Pelodiscus sinensis: one gene and its partner. The protein of the gene in region 1 purifies or fractionates together with the protein of each later gene. This does not show direct contact. Links are inferred from orthologs where the notes say so. Each region holds a gene or a part of one and is shown on either strand. Other genes may lie near its edges.

Region 1 (3,747 bases):
TGGATAAATATATATCTCCTATTAAGGCCTTGAGAGTTGAAAATGTGAATCTGAGGGCAGAACTAGACACAAGATTTAATATAACTTAACAGAAAAACTACAGTAATTCCTCATTTAACACTATAGATATGTTTCAGAAAATGATCATGTTAAGTGAAAACATGTTATGTGGGGTCAATTTTCCCATTGAAAATAATGGAAAAGGTGGGGGGTTGCGTTTCAAGCCGTGGTTTCTGTTAGGACCAAGACATAAGGTTGGGGGAGAAAGGGGACTGGGTTATAGCAGGGAGGGGATTATTGGGAGCTAGTGGGTCTGTGCTTTCACAGCTACAGGCCACCTGTAGAAACATGGGTGTTTTACAAGTGAGCAAAGAGTAGGGTTGCCAGGTGGCTTCAACAAAAATACTGGACACACTTGACATTACATCACAATCGACATTACATCTTATTTAGAAAATACCAGACATTTTCTCAATTTGATTCCTGAAGAGAAATATAACTGTCTGGTATTTTCTAAATAAGATGTAATGTCGATTGTGATGTAATGTCAAGTGTGTCCAGTATTTTTGTTGAAGCCACCTGGCAACCCTACTCTTTGCTCACTTGTAAAAGACCCACGTTTCTACAGGTGGCCTGTAGCTGTGAAAGCACAGACCCACTAGCTCCCAATAATCCAGGCAGGAACACAGCTAGTGCATGTGGCAGGCATGGAAGCTGAGCAGCTCCATGCACTCAGGTAGGCTTACCAAGGCGGGCAATGAAAGACACAGAGCCTGCTGTAAAGGCACCAGGGTGGTTTCTGGTCCGTGCATCTGGAGCAGCAGAGTTTAAAACCGAGGAGCCAGGCAACTGGGGCAGCATGGGGCGGGGTCACCGCAGCGCTGCATCGTGCTCCGTAGGTTGGCGAGGCCTCTAGCCGTGGAGAAGGCGGTTTTCCTGCCTGCCGCTGCTCTGCGGGCTGGGTGCGAGCAGGCACATCCACGAGCAGGTCAGCACAGGGGAACGAGCAGCGCCTAGGGGAGCCCAGGCCCCGGCTACCGGGACAAGGGGGAGCAGCCCGACAGCCTCCTGCCAGGCTACTTCCCGCCCCAGGGACGGCGAGCTCGCCTCTGCGCGCCGCTGGCAGCCGGCCCCTGCTCCCCGGAGGAGAAGGGCGGCCCCCAGTGGCGGGAGAGGGCGCGCGGGCTGTCACAAGGCCCGCCTCAGGCCGCGCTGCCCTGCTGGAGCCGGGCTCGCCCCGCCCCCTTTGGCTTGCCAGCTCCCAAATGGCGGTTTGCGTGTGGTGCAGGGGGTGGGGTTCTCATGCATGGCTCGGCGGTCGAGGCAGGCAGGGGGCGGGGGGGAGGGGAAGGCTAAGTAGCCGAGCGTCGGCTTGATCGATGAGCTCATGAGAAATGTCTCTCGGAGGCTGAGGCCGCCATTTTAGATGGGGAGCGGAACGAGCGGCGGCGAGTGAGGAGCGAGTCGGGGGAGCCAGTGTGGGAGAGGTACGGGCAGTGTGGGGGCCCGAGCCCTGCGGGGCACGGACAGCGGGGGGTCCCCCTTCCTCGGCCGGGCGCTGCTTCCTAGCTCCTTCCCCTGGAGCCGAGTCAGCGGCTCCCTGCCCCGTCGCTGAACCCCGAGGACACTGATCCGCCTGGGGAGGAGACGCCGCCGCCCCGCTGGGGAGCGGTGTCAGCGAGTGACCCTCTCGTCCCTCGGCATGGGCGGAGGGCCCTGCGCGGCGGCTGCGCCAGGAGCGGCGAAGGGACGGCACGGGGCGGGGGCGGCCCCTTCAGGGCGAGGGGGGCCTGCAGCTGGACCCCTTCCCGCTCGGGGCCTGAGCTGGGCGCCGCAGGCTGCGCAGTGGCACCGCGGAAGGTGCCAGGAGGGGGAGGGGGCGCCTCCGTCCCTAGGCGCTGCGGGCCAGGGGAGGGGCTGCCAATCCCGGCTGATGGCGGGGCAGTTTCCTCTGGCGAGCCCGCAGGGGGTGACTGGGAGCCGAGCGAGTATCCCTCCTGCGGGGAGCGGGGCTGCAGGAAGGGGTTTGCTTGGGACGCGAGCCTAGTGGCTGAGGAGTGTGTGGGGCATGCGTGCTGTGCAGCTGAGCCCTTCCTGCTTAGGTTTGTTCCTTCTTTGCCATATTGGTTTGTTGTTTAAATCCTCACGCACTGTTTACTGCGTCTGGCGGGACAGGTGAGCAGTGGGTCTCTGGAGTGCTACCCTGAGAGAGGATGAGATGTGTTTAAGTGCACTGAAATGAGCTGTAGGAATACTGCATAGAACTAGAGACTGTTGTGTCAAGTATCTAGTGATCTGTGAGCACAGTAATAGCCCCTTCAACTTCAGAGCCACCTTGATTTGCTCTGCTTCATTGAGAACAGAAAGTGTGGGAATCTTCTTATGGGTAAATGAATCAGTTGTCAAACACTGGGCTCGTTGGTTAACTGTCAGGGTCCCAGTACACATGGGTCTCACATACCCTGGTTCCTGGGGAGCCACCTAGCCCCCCCCTCAGTCAGCGGGGGGGGGGGGGGCATTCCATGTAGGAAGCTGACTCCTCCCCTCGACCATAGGAACTTTCGGTAATTACATGTTTACTTAATTAAACACATTTTAAAATCCCTAGGCAAACCATTGCGTGTACATTGGTATTGCAGTTTTTGTGCTACCTCCTTTGGCTTCATTTAAACCACTTCTCAGTTGACTTGAGCTCAAATTAAATAAACCTTTTGTGAACTAAATAAGAGTGTGTCTACAGAACTTTTAAATACTTGAACCAAATATGCAATAACTTGTTAAACTGGGGCACCTTTGCAATGTAGACAAGGTCTTTCGCTAGAGCAGAACGTAACGATTATATTGTTACATAGAGCACATGTAGCTAAGGTTCTGGTAGGCGTACAAATGTGCCTCTAAATAGCATCCGCTTGTCTGTTAGCTCAGATTCTGAAATGTACATCCCTGATGTTGCTTTCCACCTTAATAATGTCTGAATTTTGTTCATAAATAAAAGGATTTTGTCTGAGGCTCTAGGGCTTCAGAACCAATTGAAATGGAATTGTCAAACTGGGAATGTGTTTCAGACCTGTAAGAGGCAGTTGGAGATGGTCTTATGTATGCAAAGAAGGGAAGAAAACTGAGTGAGGGTTTGCACATTTTATTTGCCTGGAGTGCTGCAGAAAGTCAGGCCAGGCATGGTGGCTGGAAAATATTTGAGAGAGACTGTATAAAAGAAGATTAAAAATGTCATTTGTTTTGAAAAGCTTGTAAATGGCTAATATTTAGGGCCCTACCAAATTCATGGCCATGAAAAATGCATCGTGGACCATGAAATCTGGTTTTTTGTGTGCTTTTACCTTATACTTACTATACAGACTTCATGGGGGAGATCAGCATTTCTGAAATTGGAAGTCTGACCCAAAAAAGGGAGTTCCAACAGAATTGCAAAGTTTTTTTAGGAGGGCTGCAGTATTAATACCCAGCTTTGAAGACAGTACAGAAGTGTGGTTGGCTGGATAGCAAAGGCTGTGCCCTACCAGCAGCAACACAGAAATAAGGGTGGCAATACTATACAATGCCATCCTTACTTTTGTAGTGCTGCCATCGGAGTTGGGTGGCCACAGCATGGCTGCTGTTGATTGAGGGCCCAGCTCTTGTAGCTAGGAACACAAAAATAAGGGTGGCAAGACCGCATTGTGCCATCCATATTTCTGCACTGCTGTTGCTGGTGGTGGTGGCTCTTTCTTCTGAGCTGGGCTCCTGGCC
Region 2 (3,747 bases), on another chromosome or scaffold:
TGGGGGGGTGTCCTGTGCGGGGGGTATTGGGGAGAGGGGGGCCCTGTGCGGGGGGTATTGGGGAGAGGGGGGGCCCTGTGCGGGGGGTATTGGGGAGAGGGGGGGCCCTGTGCGGAGGTGGACGGGGGTATTGGGGAGAGGGGGCCCCCCTGTGTGGGGACATGGGGGGGTGCCCTGTGCCGGGGGTATTGGGGAGAGGGGGGGCCCTGTGCCGGGGGTATTGGGGAGAGGGGGGGCCCTGTGCGGGGGGTATTGGGGAGAGGGGGGGCCCTGTGCGGGGGGTATTGGGGAGACTGGCAGTCTGAGGCTCCCTTGGTCCCTTGCGGGGAAGCTTTGGCTGGGCTGGGGCGTTCCCACAGGAGATGGAGCTGCTGGGGGACAGGGTCGCCTACTCTTTCTAGTGGCTTGCTGGGGCAGAGGGGATATGTCCCACTTCTGCCTTTGTGCTTTTTTTCTCCCTTACTGGAATGCAAAGGAATAAACATTCCAAAGCTACAGCAAGATGTGGTGGGACAGAGTCCGGGAACTGGGCCACTGCTGTTAAACAGCATTTCCGCTTCCACCTCTACGTATTTGCTCCCTCCATTCACCATCCTCTCTTGTACTTCTGCCCTTCAGAGAGCTCTCTTCAAAAAGACCCTTGGATTCCCCCCACCACAACCCAATCAATTCTACTCTTGGTAGTAGGACAAACAGATACCTTACAGTGTTCTCACTGTGCCTAGATGTCCTGCTGGCATGAGGGGCATCGGAGGAGGTTGGGTTATTTCTAAGAAAATAAAATTCTTGCTCATTTAGCCAGAAAATCCTGGAAGGGTGGTGATGCCTATCAGGTGTCACAGGTATAGGTTTACAATCCATATTCAGCTTGAATTGGTAAAAAGGAAAGACTAATAGTTGTTCCCATTTGGTGGCCTTTCAGTAGCCTCTGCTAAATGGGCTGTCAGTCCAGTTCCTGGTAGACAGGTTGCAAAAACCATGTCCACAGTTAGCCTGAACTGGCAAACACTCTGGCATCCAGAGCAAGATCTAAAAGGGGATCAAAATATCCCTGGCTTTAAAAGGTGAGCACAACAGCTGTCCAGACTCCTGCTGTAATTGTTAGGTAGATACAGCTTAAAAGAAAATCTAGGGGTTTGCCAATTTCTTTTGGTGCCCCTTCTTCCATTCCTGATCTTTTTTCCTTCCCCCAAAAAAGGAGGCCCTTTGGTGAGCTACTTACGACTCTTTATCTGTTAATAGGATCATGGCAAAAGCGGGAGGAAAAGGAGTGAACCTGAAAGACAAACTTGATGGCAATGAACTGGACTTGAGCCTGAGTGACCTGAATGAGGTGCCAGTCAAAGAGCTGGTCAGTATCAGTCTTTTCTGGGAAGTGTTAGGCTGTGTCTACACTGGCCACTTATTCCGGAAAATCAGCCGCTTTTCCGGAATAACTTGCCAGCTGTCTACACTGGCCCCTTGAATTTCTGGAAGACCACTGACGATCTACTGTAAAATCATCAGTGCTTTTCCGGAAAAACTATGCTGCTCCCGTTCGGGCAAAAGTCCTTTTCCGGAAAACTGTTCCGGAAAAGGGCCAGTGTAGACAGCACAGATTTCTTTTCTGCAAAAAAGCCCCGATCGCGAAAATGACGATTGGGGCTTTTTTGCGGAAAAGCATGTCTACATTGGCACGGATGCTTTTCCAGAAAAAGTGTTTTTCCGGAAAAGCATCCTGCCAATGTAGACGTGCTTTTTATGGAAATACTTATAACGGAAAACTGTTCCATTTTAAGCATTTCCGGAAAATCATGCCAGTGTAGATGTAGCCTTAAGGTATTGCAGGGGAGCTTTTGAGATTACACTTGGTCTTTGTGAATTACAGATTGGTCCAGGAAGGGGTGGGGTTGAGGTCTGGGGATGCATTGGGCCCTGTGTACATTTTGTTTTTTACCAGCTCAAGGTAATGCCAATTCAGTATTTAAAGGCACACTCACACTGTTTCTCCTGGTTTGAAGAAAAAAGGGAAGATAAGGATATGCAACCTTGAATCTTTCCTGTTGTTTTGACTTTGGGGATTGATGTGACCTGAAGAAAAGTGTGTTCCTATTGATCTAATCTGGTTTAATCCAGATTGTGTATTAAATGGAGGCTTTGGGTGAAAGAACCTATTTCAGTGGGAGCAGTGCTCATAAAACCCTGACTTTGAGTGAGATGTAAGAGAGTTGCAAAAATAATTTGAATGGTGGCAACTGGGAAATTCTTAAAACTCCATGTATGGGAGAAATCCCAAAAAACTTAAATATAAGCAGCAAAGTATCAAACATGTTAAAGAACTGTAACTTTGATAAGTCTCAGGTATCTGTGTTAGTCTGTATCTGCAAAAACAAGGAGTCCTGTGGCACTTTAAAGACTAACAGATTTATTTGGGCATAAGCTTTTGTAAAACCCACTAAATTAGAAAAGCAGATATAATATATATATATATAATCTCAATATCATACATGTATATCAAAAGAAGGGAGTTATCAAGTGTAAGACCAGTGTTAATGAGCCCAATTCAGTCACTGGTCAAACTCTTGATAAGTAACTCCCTATACTAGTACATATATATCCCTATCTCTGTAATTTCTACTCCAGTGCATCTGATGAAGTGGGTTTTACCCATGAAAGCTTATGCACAAATAAATATATTAGTCTTTAAGGTGCCACGGAACTCCTTGTTGTTTTTGTAGCTTTGATATAGGTTTAATTTGGTTCCTTGGCTCTTTTTCAGGCTGCCCTTCCAAAGGCTACCATATTGGATTTGTCCTGTAACAATCTCACTTCCTTACCGGTAAGAGGAGAGAAAAGCTTTGTGGAAGAGGGTGGGATCTGCTTGAAAATATCTGTAGAAGGATACTAGCCTTCATGGGAGGATGAGGTGGGAATTTGATAACTAGCAGTTATGTTAGCTTCTTATGTTAGCTGGAGTACTGTGTCCAGTTCTGGGCGCCACATTTCAAGAAAGATGTGGAGAAATTGGAAAGGGTACAGAGAAGAGCGACAAGAATGATCAAAGGTTTAGAGAACATGACCTATGAAGCCAGGCTTCATGAACTGGGCTTGTTTAGTTTGGAAAAAAGAAGATTAAGGGGGGACATGATAGCGGTTTTCAAATATCTAAAAGGGTGTCACAAGAAGGAAGGAGAAAATTTGTTCCTCTTGGTTTCTGAGGACAAGACAAGGAGTAATGGGCTTAAAGTGCAGCAGGGGAGGTTTAGATTGGACATTAGGAAAAAATTCCTAACTGTCAGGGTGGTCAAATATTGGAATAAATTGCCAAGGGAGGTGGTGGAATCTCCCTCTCTGGAGATATTTAAGAACAGGTTAGATAGACATCTGTCAGGGATGGTGTAGATGGAGCTTGGTCCTGCCTTGAGGGCGGGGGGCTGGACTCAATGACCTCTCGAGGTCCCTTCCAGTCCTATTATTCTATGATTCTTGGGAGGATAAATGACATTGCCCCTGTTATAGAGGGGCCTTTAGAGGTGACTAACTTTTACTGAGGTTGGCTGGCATAGCACAGTGCTCTTACAGAAAATGAATGTACTCAGTGATAGCAGCTTCTATTCCAAAGTGCTCTACCAGCTAGATACCAAAAGCATCTGTCTTATGTCCATTGTAATTATATTGCTATATATAGCCCTGTTTAGGAGACTATCCACTGCTCCCTACATTACAGTCCTAGGGTACGTCTAGATGTAGAGGAGGAAGAGGGTAGCT

Evidence for each region. Proteins that work in one complex are often made in the same cells at the same time.
Region 2: the proteins of RAF1 (region 1) and LRRC59 purify together in Homo sapiens (affinity purification with mass spectrometry; 3 studies listed by BioGRID and IntAct, with this or other methods). This does not show direct contact. The link is inferred for Pelodiscus sinensis from reciprocal best matches to the Homo sapiens genes RAF1 and LRRC59.

The regions. Positions count from the first base shown.
Region 1 is NC_134721.1:47,893,456-47,897,202, reverse strand, and holds the start of RAF1 (RAF proto-oncogene serine/threonine-protein kinase), read left to right. Parts: upstream 1-964; 5' UTR 965-988; exon of another isoform or gene 989-1,284; intron 1,285-1,342; exon of another isoform or gene 1,343-1,487; intron 1,488-2,078; exon of another isoform or gene 2,079-2,102; intron 2,103-3,747. UniProt on the Homo sapiens protein: Serine/threonine-protein kinase that acts as a regulatory link between the membrane-associated Ras GTPases and the MAPK/ERK cascade, and this critical regulatory link functions as a switch determining cell fate decisions including proliferation, differentiation, apoptosis, survival and oncogenic transformation.
Region 2 is NC_134730.1:13,989,765-13,993,511, reverse strand, and holds the start of LRRC59 (leucine-rich repeat-containing protein 59), read left to right. Parts: upstream 1-826; 5' UTR 827-978; coding exon 979-1,064; intron 1,065-1,242; coding exon 1,243-1,351; intron 1,352-2,758; coding exon 2,759-2,818; intron 2,819-3,747.